2 linked regions of the Macaca fascicularis genome follow. The protein of the gene in region 2 purifies or fractionates together with the protein of the main gene of each other region. This does not show direct contact. Links are inferred from orthologs where the notes say so. Each region holds a gene or a part of one and is shown on either strand. Other genes may lie near its edges.

Region 1 (4,981 bases), on a different chromosome or scaffold from region 2:
CACAAACTGGATGCTGCGCTTGGTCTTGATGGTGGCAATGGCAGCATTGACATCTTTGGGAACCACATCACCACGGTACAACAGGCAGCAAGCCATGTATTTACCATGGCGAGGGTCACATTTCACCATCTGGTTGGCTGGCTCAAAGCAAGCATTGGTGATCTCTGCTACAGAAAGCTGTTCATGGTAGGCTTTCTCAGCAGAGATGACAGGGGCGTATGTGGCCAGAGGGAAGTGGATGCGGGGGTAGGGCACCAGGTTGGTCTGGAATTCTGTCAGGTCAACATTCAGGGCTCCATCAAATCTCAGGGAAGCAGTGATGGAGGACACAATCTGGCTAATAAGGCGGTTAAGGTTAGTGTAGGTTGGGCGCTCAATATCAAGGTTTCTACGACAGATGTCATAGATGGCCTCATTGTCTACCATGAAGGCACAATCAGAGTGCTCCAGGGTGGTGTGGGTGGTGAGGATGGAGTTGTAGGGCTCAACTACAGCTGTGGAAACCTGGGGCGCTGGGTAAATGGAGAACTCCAGCTTGGACTTCTTGCCATAATCAACTGAGAGACGTTCCATGAGCAGGGAGGTGAACCCAGAACCAGTTCCCCCACCAAAGCTGTGGAAAACCAAGAAGCCCTGAAGACCGGTGCACTGGTCAGCCTGTAGGGAAATAAAAAAAATAATATTTTAATGCCAAGAAACATTCTCTTAGAATTTCTATTTAAAATTCTTAGATTATGAACCATCTCATTGACATAAGCATAAGGAAATGGGAAAACAAACATATCCACAAACTGTCCATAACCTAGGGGACTATCTGATTTAGAAGTCCAATGAACATAGTAAGCAGTCTATTCCACATTTTGGTAGGTGCTAAAGAATGAATGTTGTCAGTCACTCCACCCAACTTGCACTGGTACCATCTCGCCGCATTAAATGCATATTTATATATTGTGCTTACCAGCTTGCGAATTCGGTCCAACACAAGGTCAATGATCTCCTTGCCAATGGTGTAGTGCCCTCGGGCATAGTTATTGGCAGCATCTTCCTTGCCTGTGATGAGCTGCTCAGGGTGGAAGAGCTGGCGGTAGGTGCCAGTGCGAACTTCATCTGGGGGAGGAGGGAGAGAAGGATGGAGGGAGTGGGTGAGTGACCAGCGGAGCCCCCAGGACAGACCTCCTGTCCCAGCATCCTGGGATCTCACTTGGGTTACTGAAGTCAACTCACCAATGACCGTGGGTTCCAAGTCTACAAACACGGCCCGGGGCACATGCTTGCCAGCGCCCGTCTCACTGAAGAAGGTGTTGAAGGAATCATCTCCTCCCCCAATGGTCTTGTCACTTGGCATCTGACCATCGGGCTGGATGCCGTGTTCCAGGCAGTAGAGCTCCCAGCAGGCATTGCCAATCTGGACACCAGCCTGGCCAACGTGGATGGAGATGCACTCACGCTGTGGGAAGGAAAAAGATATCGCAATTTAATCTATTGGTGGCTGTCAGGTGGAACAAAATACTCATGCAATCTTTATTTTTTTAGAGATAAAGTCTGTCACCCAGGCTTGAGTGCAGTGATGCCGTCTAGGCTCAAGGCAGCCTAAACCTCCTGGGCTTGAGTCATCCCCCGACCCCAGCGTCTGGAGCAGCTGGGACCACAGGCACAGGCCACTACGCCTGGCTAATTTTTTCATCTTTTTTTGTGGAGATGAGGTCTGGCTGTGTTACCTAGGCTACTCACGTAATCTTAAAACAAATTTCCTTTTTTAAAGCGACGTAAGACGTACTACTCTTCTGAGAACAGCTTATCGTCTACATTGCTTTTAATGACTGTTACCTTCCCATCCTAAACTGGGAAGGCCTCCTTCCAGACCAATACAGCTCAGTCACAGCTTCCTCCTTTGGAGGACCAAGACAGGAAGGTAGGCATCCACCCAGCGCTCAGGCCCCAGAATACCACTTTAGACTAGGTGGCCACATTTCCGGGCAGCTCCTAGCACAGGAAGCACGTGGCCAGACCAGCGCACAAGAAATGTCGGTCCGCAGGGACATGGGGCGGGGCTCTGCGGCACAGGATGAATGCGCAATTCAGGGCGCGCGCTCTCGCGCCCCCCGGCGGCGCTGCAGAGGCACGAAATGGCCACGTCTGCAAAGGCGCTGCCCAGGCCGCCCATCCTCCCTTGCCCGCCGGCATCGGGCTGGGCCTAACACCTCCACAGCAGTCTGAGCGAAGTTGGGGATTATCGGCGGCCCAGATCTGGGTCAAGATCCGATTTCCGTTCCCTCAAAATCCCTCACTGCCACCACCTGCTCCCCTGAATTCCTAACGCAGCAGAGAGACAGGTGGCCTCTACAGACTGTTGTGGTCGAACTGTCCTAATTCACTGGTGTATAGCGGTACATTGACAGGGCCCTTCCCCACATTCCTCTTATTGCTTTCATTAAAAAAAGAAAACTCAGGTTAACAGGAGACACGCCCTGTAGCCCTAGTCTCGCCGCGACCCAGAGCGCATGCGCAGACTGCAGTGGCGGTTTCCCGCCCAGGAACGGCGTGAAGGTAACGGTCGCGCGTGCGCGCTTTTGTCTCCAGCTGCTTCCCACCCCCGCTTTTCGCGCTCAAGAGGAAGTGAAGGCTGGAAGATGTTAGAGTCCGCGCGCGCGCGCGTCCACCCAAAGCGGGGGAAGGGCATACGCTGGAAAGGACTGCGGGGACTCGAGGGACCGCTCCCAGTACAGAGTTACGCGCTGAAAGAGAGCTCCGGATACGGCAGAAGGCAGCCGGAGCCCCCTCATCCCTTCCAGAGTCCGATAAGAAATCCTGGCGCCCCTCGACCTTTCCGGGCCCCAGCTATTTACACACACCGAGGTCTCACCACTCCCGCCCTGGCCTCTCGCCTTGTTTTCCGCCCTCCAAAAGGACGGCTCTGGAACCAGACCTCCCCGGCTGTATACAGGGTCCCCGCGCCCCGCCAGCTCGCTTTTCCCTGCTTCCCTGAAAGCAGCCGGGAGCCGCGCGGCTCACTCACCATAGTGGCTAGGGATTAGGAGGCGAAGGCGGAAGGAGCAGACACCGGGTCCCGGTTACCGTCCCCGACAAGCTAAGAGTCGAGGTAAGTAACGCACTGGGGCGGGACCGGCGCTGGAGCCTCTTAAGTAGCGGCTTTGGAGAGGGGGCGGGCACAGGCGGTGTCGCGGCCGCGGGCCCCTCCTCCGGCCCAGTGCGCCCACTGGGCGCCCGGCCTGGCCGCCGCAGAGGCGGGCTCCGGGCCCCGAGCCCCCTCCCTTCGCGCGGCCGCGGGGCGGGGTCCTCCGCGCCTGCGGGCCGCGCGCGCCAGTGCTGCAGTGTGCGGCGCATGGCTGCGAGGGCCTGGCGAGGGGCGGGCGCGAGTCGGAAAGACACCGACCAGGGAATGGGTGACGAGGCTTGACTTAATTCGGAGGAAGCCTAGGACTTGAGAGAGCCATACAATTTGAAAGACGAAGCACCGTGAAATGCAGAAAGTTGTGGTTCGGATAGCTCAGCTGATTAATTTCGTGTTGCCACAGTTTGTCAGTGAGTTTTGCCTTTTTATTTTCGCAGTTCCTTTTAAGGCAGTGCATTCTGTACTTACCTGATAATGTGAAAAACGCGAGCTTTAGAAAACCGAATAGGTGTACATGGTTTACTTTAATGACTTGTTCTCCAAAGTAAGAGTACCAAATGCTGAAAGCAAGTAGATATTCAGTCATTCGAAGAGTGCCCAAGCATTTAACATTGAAGCTGTTAAAAGGGCAAAGTAGGCCCCAATTTTAGATCTAAGCCATCAATTTTATGAAACAGTTCTAGGGGCTTTTTGAAAAGGAGATTTAAAAACACATTTCAGTGGTGGTAGCTGAGTTGAAGAAGTGAGGAAAGAATTGGATAGGGAGGAAATAAATTGACACTGAAGGATGTTAGGAAGTAGAGATTCCTTGTGCAACTTAAGAGTTTTGTAAATAAGACTGCTTGGCCTTGTGTCAAGATACATCAATTGGTTATAGCTTAGTGCTTGGAGGCCCACATTATAGGAGTAGACTAGGTCTCCCTCCGCCCCGCCCCTGGAAAATCTATTTCAAGACGATAAACCACATTGCTAATCCTTGGAAATGCAGAAGGTGGTTAGGTTTAAAATGTGGCTTTAAAATGGTCCTAGCCGAAACGTATTGATGTTACTATTCAGAATATCTGCCCAGTATAGGAGGAACAAAAAGGTTAAACCTAAAACACTAAAAATTCATAGTTCATATTCAGTTATTAGCCTATTAAAATTTGGTGCAGCCTTCATCCTTCGCACCGAATTTCAGACAAATAGCAAATTTATGTGGTTAATAAGTGTATGTTGTAAGGAGTTATATATGTGTATGTCTATATATGTGTGTCTCCACCCATCTGAACCTGACCTGCAGACCAAGAGGTTCTTGTTTATTTCTGATAGTTTTGGTAGTCTTGTTAAAGGCATTTGATTCAAAATCCAAATTTGCACACATTTTTCCAACTGGGTAGAGGAGGCAGGAATATATTTGAATATTGTTCTCACTTATTTTGTTCCTCTTCTTATTCTTAAAAAAAAAAAAAAATTAAGCCTGTCAATTTTAGCAGTGAGGGATGGTATACTAATTTTAGTGACACTAATATTAATAAGTTCTGATAACCCACTATCTTCGGACCACCCCCACTCTTATTCTTAAAACGAATCTGAAAATCATAAGCTTGCTTTAACGGGAAGAATGAATGTTAGGGAACCACCCTGCTGAACTCCATTTTGCTGTCGGCTCTGGATAAAGCTATTTTATCCAGAAAAGCTATCTCTGGGCAAATGATTTGAATAGTTTAGTAACCGCAATAGGTTTCTGCTAGAACCATTTTGAAGCCACCCTCTAACCCTAACCACTTTATATATTTCCAAGGATTAGCGATGTAGTTTATGGTCTTGGGATAGATTTTTCTGGGGGAGGGGAGAACCTCCCTTCTA
Region 2 (4,443 bases):
GCATGTGCCTGTAGTCCCAGCTAGTCGGGAGGCTGAGGCATGAGAATTGCTTGAGCCCAGGAGATGGAGGCTGCAGTGAGCTGAGATTGTGCCATTGCTCTCCAGCCTGGGTGACAGAGCAAGACTTTGTCTCAAAAGGAAAAAAAAAGAGGCAGGTACGGTCGCTCATGCCTGTAATCCCAACACTTTGGGAGGCTGACACGGGTAGATCACAAGGTCAGGGGTTCAAGACCAGCCTGGCCAACATGGTGAAACCCCATCTCTACTAAAAATACAAAAAAATTAGCTGGGTGTGGTGGCAGGCACCTGTAATCCCAGCTACTTGGGAGGCTGAGGCAGAGAACTGCTTGAACCCAGTGAGCCGAGATTGCGCTACTGCACTCTAGCCTGGGCAACAGAGCAAGACAACGTCTCAAAAAAAACAAAAAACAAAAATGAAAAGAAAAGAAAAGAAAAGAGAATAAGAGCACAGAAGGTTGCTGAGCCGATTAATATCTGAACAATGCATAACAGTAACCAGGGGCCAGGCGCGGTGCCTCACGCCTGTAATTCCAGCACTCTGGGAGGCTGAGGTGGGTGGATTTCTTGAGGCCAGGAGCTCAAGACCAGCCTGGCAGACATGGTGAAACCCCATCTCTACTAAAACTACAAAAATTAGCCGAGCGTGGTGGCTGGTGCCTGTAATCCCAGTGATTCAGGAGGCTGAGGTAGGAGGATCACTTGAACCCAGGAGGTGGAGGCTGCAGTGAGCTGAGATCGTGCCATTGCAGTCCAGCCTGGGTGACAGAGTGAGACTCTGCCTCAAAAAAAAAAAAAAAAAAAAAAGAAAAACAAAAGAACAAAAAACCAGATCCAACAGATTCAGCATTTACCATATGCCAGATATTCCTCCATGATTAGCCTGCCTCATAAAAATGAGGAAACTGAGGCACAGGGCATAGGGATACTGGGCCATTTACAAAGGTCAGTGAATTTCCTTTGTCCCAGGAACTTGTTAGAGGCAGTTTAGGTAGAGTAAAAAGTACAAACCCTGGAGCCAGGCTGCATGGGTTCAAGTCCTGGTTCTGCCATCAGTAAATGTGCCATCTCAGGCTAGTCATCACACCTCTTTGTGCCTCAGTTTCCCTGACCTTGAGAGAGGAAAATGAGGTAAGCTGACCCTACCTCATAAGGCTGCCTTGCCAAGTAACTGAATGAATAAGACACATGAAGTGCTCAGAAGAGTGCTCTGTACATAGTGAGCACTCAATTAAGGCTGTTAATGTTGCTGTTATTCTTATTACTACCCAGTATGTGCCAACAATCCCAGGCAGGGACACTCAAAGGAGATTTCAGGAAACTGTCCTGAGTGATGGTGCCAACATTTCCAAACTACCCTCCCACTGTGGGAAGAGGGACCAAGAGAGAATTACCTCTAGAATAAGGATAATGCGGCCACTGGCAAGGCCCATCAGCAGGTGGGTGAGGTGGGCATAACCCTCAGGTGACACCTGGCAGCCCCCCAGCGGGTCCCCCCGTGCAGCATCAAAGCCAGCTGAGACCAGCACCAGTTCTGGGTTAAACTGAGGCAGGGAGAGAAGAGATGTATAAGCATGAGGGTGGGGGCTTTTGGTAGATAGTAAGTGATGGCGACCCAGAGACATGGAGAAAAGGACAAATGAAGACATGGAGATGCCAGTCAGAGAGATGGAGACACAGGATCTGCAGACTGGGAGATGCAGAAGCAGAGACTGAAAATGAAGAGGGGAAGAAAAGAAATACAGACTCAGAAGAAACAGATGCAGACTTAGAGACCTGGAGACAGTAGAAAGGGACAGATGGGGACATGAGACATAGTCATGAGACATGAGACAGACTCAGATGTCAAGAGAGTGACATGAAAAACAGAGAGACAGAGACATGTCCTTACACACACACACCCCAGGGTCAAATGTGGGACACACATACACAACATATAGGGTTTTATATACATAGTGTCAAAGAGAGGTGTTTGCACACTTCCATAACAGAAGATGGCAATGCAAGTGCCACACACAGAGAAGATAGTCACACAGAGCCACAAGTACTGCCACACACAGTCCCATATAGACCAGTACTACATATCTGCACTAGTCATGTACACACACACACACACACACACACACACACATAGTTTCTCAAAGAGGACAGTAACCCACAGCCACCCTGCAGAGTCACATACACATGCCATTACCACACAGCAACAATGGTGACATGCACTCTGGTGTGTCCACAAGAGCTGGTTACTTGCACATACAGTTGTACACATACAGAAGGCTGTCCTGGCCACCCGCGCACGTGCAGATCCAAAGATGCACATCAGCGCCCAGGGTGACAGAGTGGTGCTCACACCCCCGCCCTCCCTCCCAGAGTCAGCCATACGCAAGCCACTAGCCCCCCAGCTCACACAGAGGGAAGGCAGCTACCTCCCAGTCAGAGACACACACATAAATAGCCAGGGCAGACAGCCAGACAGTGACTGCTGTAACACACAGCCTTTCACATCCAGAGGGTCCCACACAGGCTGTCACAGAGATGGTTGCATTTAGTGACATACAATATCACACCCATCACACAGAGAAAAGGTGATGCCTGCACAGAGTCGCACACACACATACTCAAGCACTTGTGATGGCACACACACAACACAGATCCAGCCAGGACACGGGCCACTGCTGCATAGTCAGAAGGCCCTCACACACACAGCCAAGATAGTCACCCACATAGTGTCACACAGAGAAGGCAGTCATATAGTCACCTGTGCACAGGCAAATACACAAAGTGATCACAGTCACCAATTGCCCCGGTAGCCTCATTAATCACCCATGGGCTGTCTCATATCATCAGCCACCTGGCAGTCAGACGCACACATGCTGAGGAGGCAGGTCCAGGCTGCCACCTGCACAGGCATGTCACATACATCCTGCGATCTATCCTGAGCTGTACCTCGTAGGCAATGGGAAGCACCAGGCGATGCCAGGCAGCTAGGTAGTCAGCGTCACCCATGCGGGGCCCGTTCCATGCCACGTTGACGGTGAAGCCTGTGCCAGCAGCCCGGCCGATCTGGCTGCTGGCACCCTCATCCCCCATGGGGAAGAAGGTGCCATGATCATAGCGGTGCAGGGACACATATAGCACACTGCCGGGGAGGGGGTAGGAAGGGGGCCATGGCTGGTTAGGGGCTCCAGTACCCCTGAGGTGCTCACCCACCTCCCTGATCACACTGCGGCCCCTGATTGCAGCCCCTTACCTGGGGTCATCCTCAAACATGTGCTGAGTTCCATTACCATGGTGGACATCCCAATCCACAATCAGGATCCTGGGGAGAAGACAGCACCTCAGTAACCTAGGATACTCACCCCCTGGAAGAGGGCTGGGCCAGACCCCTGGGGTCTGTAGGGGCATTTAGTGCTGAGTGGCAGGACCCTAGTCCTATCAGTTAAGGAGAAAAGTCTGATCCTGGTTCCCGAGGGCTGCCCTGTAGGCCTGAGCAAGTGCTCGGGGCTGGGCCCTGGGCTCTTCTGGGTCATTGCTAGGGAACTGGACCCTGCGCCTTGGGCAGCTAATGCTGGGGACTGGTTCTTGGGTCTTCTGGAGTATGCATCAGGAGCCTGGACCTGGGTTCTGTCGAGGCAGCTGCTATAGGCCAGAAATGCTGGGGTGGGACCCTGAATCCTGTTTTATAAGCACCCAGGTAATATGATCTGGGGGTCCTATCTAAATAGGCACTGAGAGGCTCCATCCTCAGTCCTTCTCTGGGTAAGGGCTGTACCCTTACTTCTTTCTGGGGAAGTCCTGGGGAGCTGGACCATGGGGCATGATGAGTAAGCAATGGGCTGGGGAGAGCATCCAGGTCCCCACAAGGATCAGGATTTGGGGGGTCCCCAGGGAGTCCTTACCGCAGGGCACGCCCACTGATAGCCTGGGCATGGCGAGCAGCCACAGCCACGGAGTTGAAAAAGCAAAAACCGCAAGCTGCATCCTGCTCCGCGTGGTGTCCTGGGGGACGCACCACAGCAGCACCATTCAGAACCTAGGAAGCAGCAGGGTGCTAAGATCGGACAGCCTGCCCTCCAGCTCACCCTCACCTTCCTTTCTTCCTTCTTCTTTTTTTTTCTCGCTCTGTCGCCCAGGCTGGAGTGCAGTGGTGCTATCTAGGATCACTGCAAGCTCCGCCTCCCATGTTTACGTCATTCTCCTGCCTCAGTCTCCTGAGTAGCTGGGACTACAGGCGCCCACCGCCACGCCCGGCTAATTTTTTGTGTGTTTTTTAGTAGAGACAGGGTTTCACCGTGTTACCCAGGATGGTCTCGATCTCCTGACCTCGTGATCCGCCCGCCTCGGCCTCCCAAAGTGCTGGGATTACAGGCATGAGCCACCGTGCCCAACCTTTTTTTTTTTTTTTTGACACAGAGTCTCACTCTG

What was found. Proteins that work in one complex are often made in the same cells at the same time.
Region 1: the proteins of HDAC6 (region 2) and TUBA1B purify together in Homo sapiens (affinity purification with western blotting; 4 studies listed by BioGRID, with this or other methods). This does not show direct contact. The link is inferred for Macaca fascicularis from reciprocal best matches to the Homo sapiens genes HDAC6 and TUBA1B.

Annotation. Positions count from the first base shown.
Region 1 is NC_088385.1:55,943,108-55,948,088, forward strand, and holds the start of TUBA1B (tubulin alpha-1B chain), read right to left. Parts: upstream 3,115-4,981; 5' UTR 3,020-3,114; coding exon 3,017-3,019; exon of another isoform or gene 2,596-3,016; intron 1,448-2,595; coding exon 1,225-1,447; intron 1,108-1,224; coding exon 959-1,107; intron 658-958; coding exon 1-657. UniProt on the Homo sapiens protein: Tubulin is the major constituent of microtubules, protein filaments consisting of alpha- and beta-tubulin heterodimers. Microtubules grow by the addition of GTP-tubulin dimers to the microtubule end, where a stabilizing cap forms.
Region 2 is NC_088395.1:48,977,209-48,981,651, reverse strand, and holds part of HDAC6 (protein deacetylase HDAC6), read right to left. Parts: intron 4,052-4,443; coding exon 3,918-4,051; intron 3,338-3,917; coding exon 3,269-3,337; intron 3,158-3,268; coding exon 2,965-3,157; intron 1,563-2,964; coding exon 1,413-1,562; intron 1-1,412.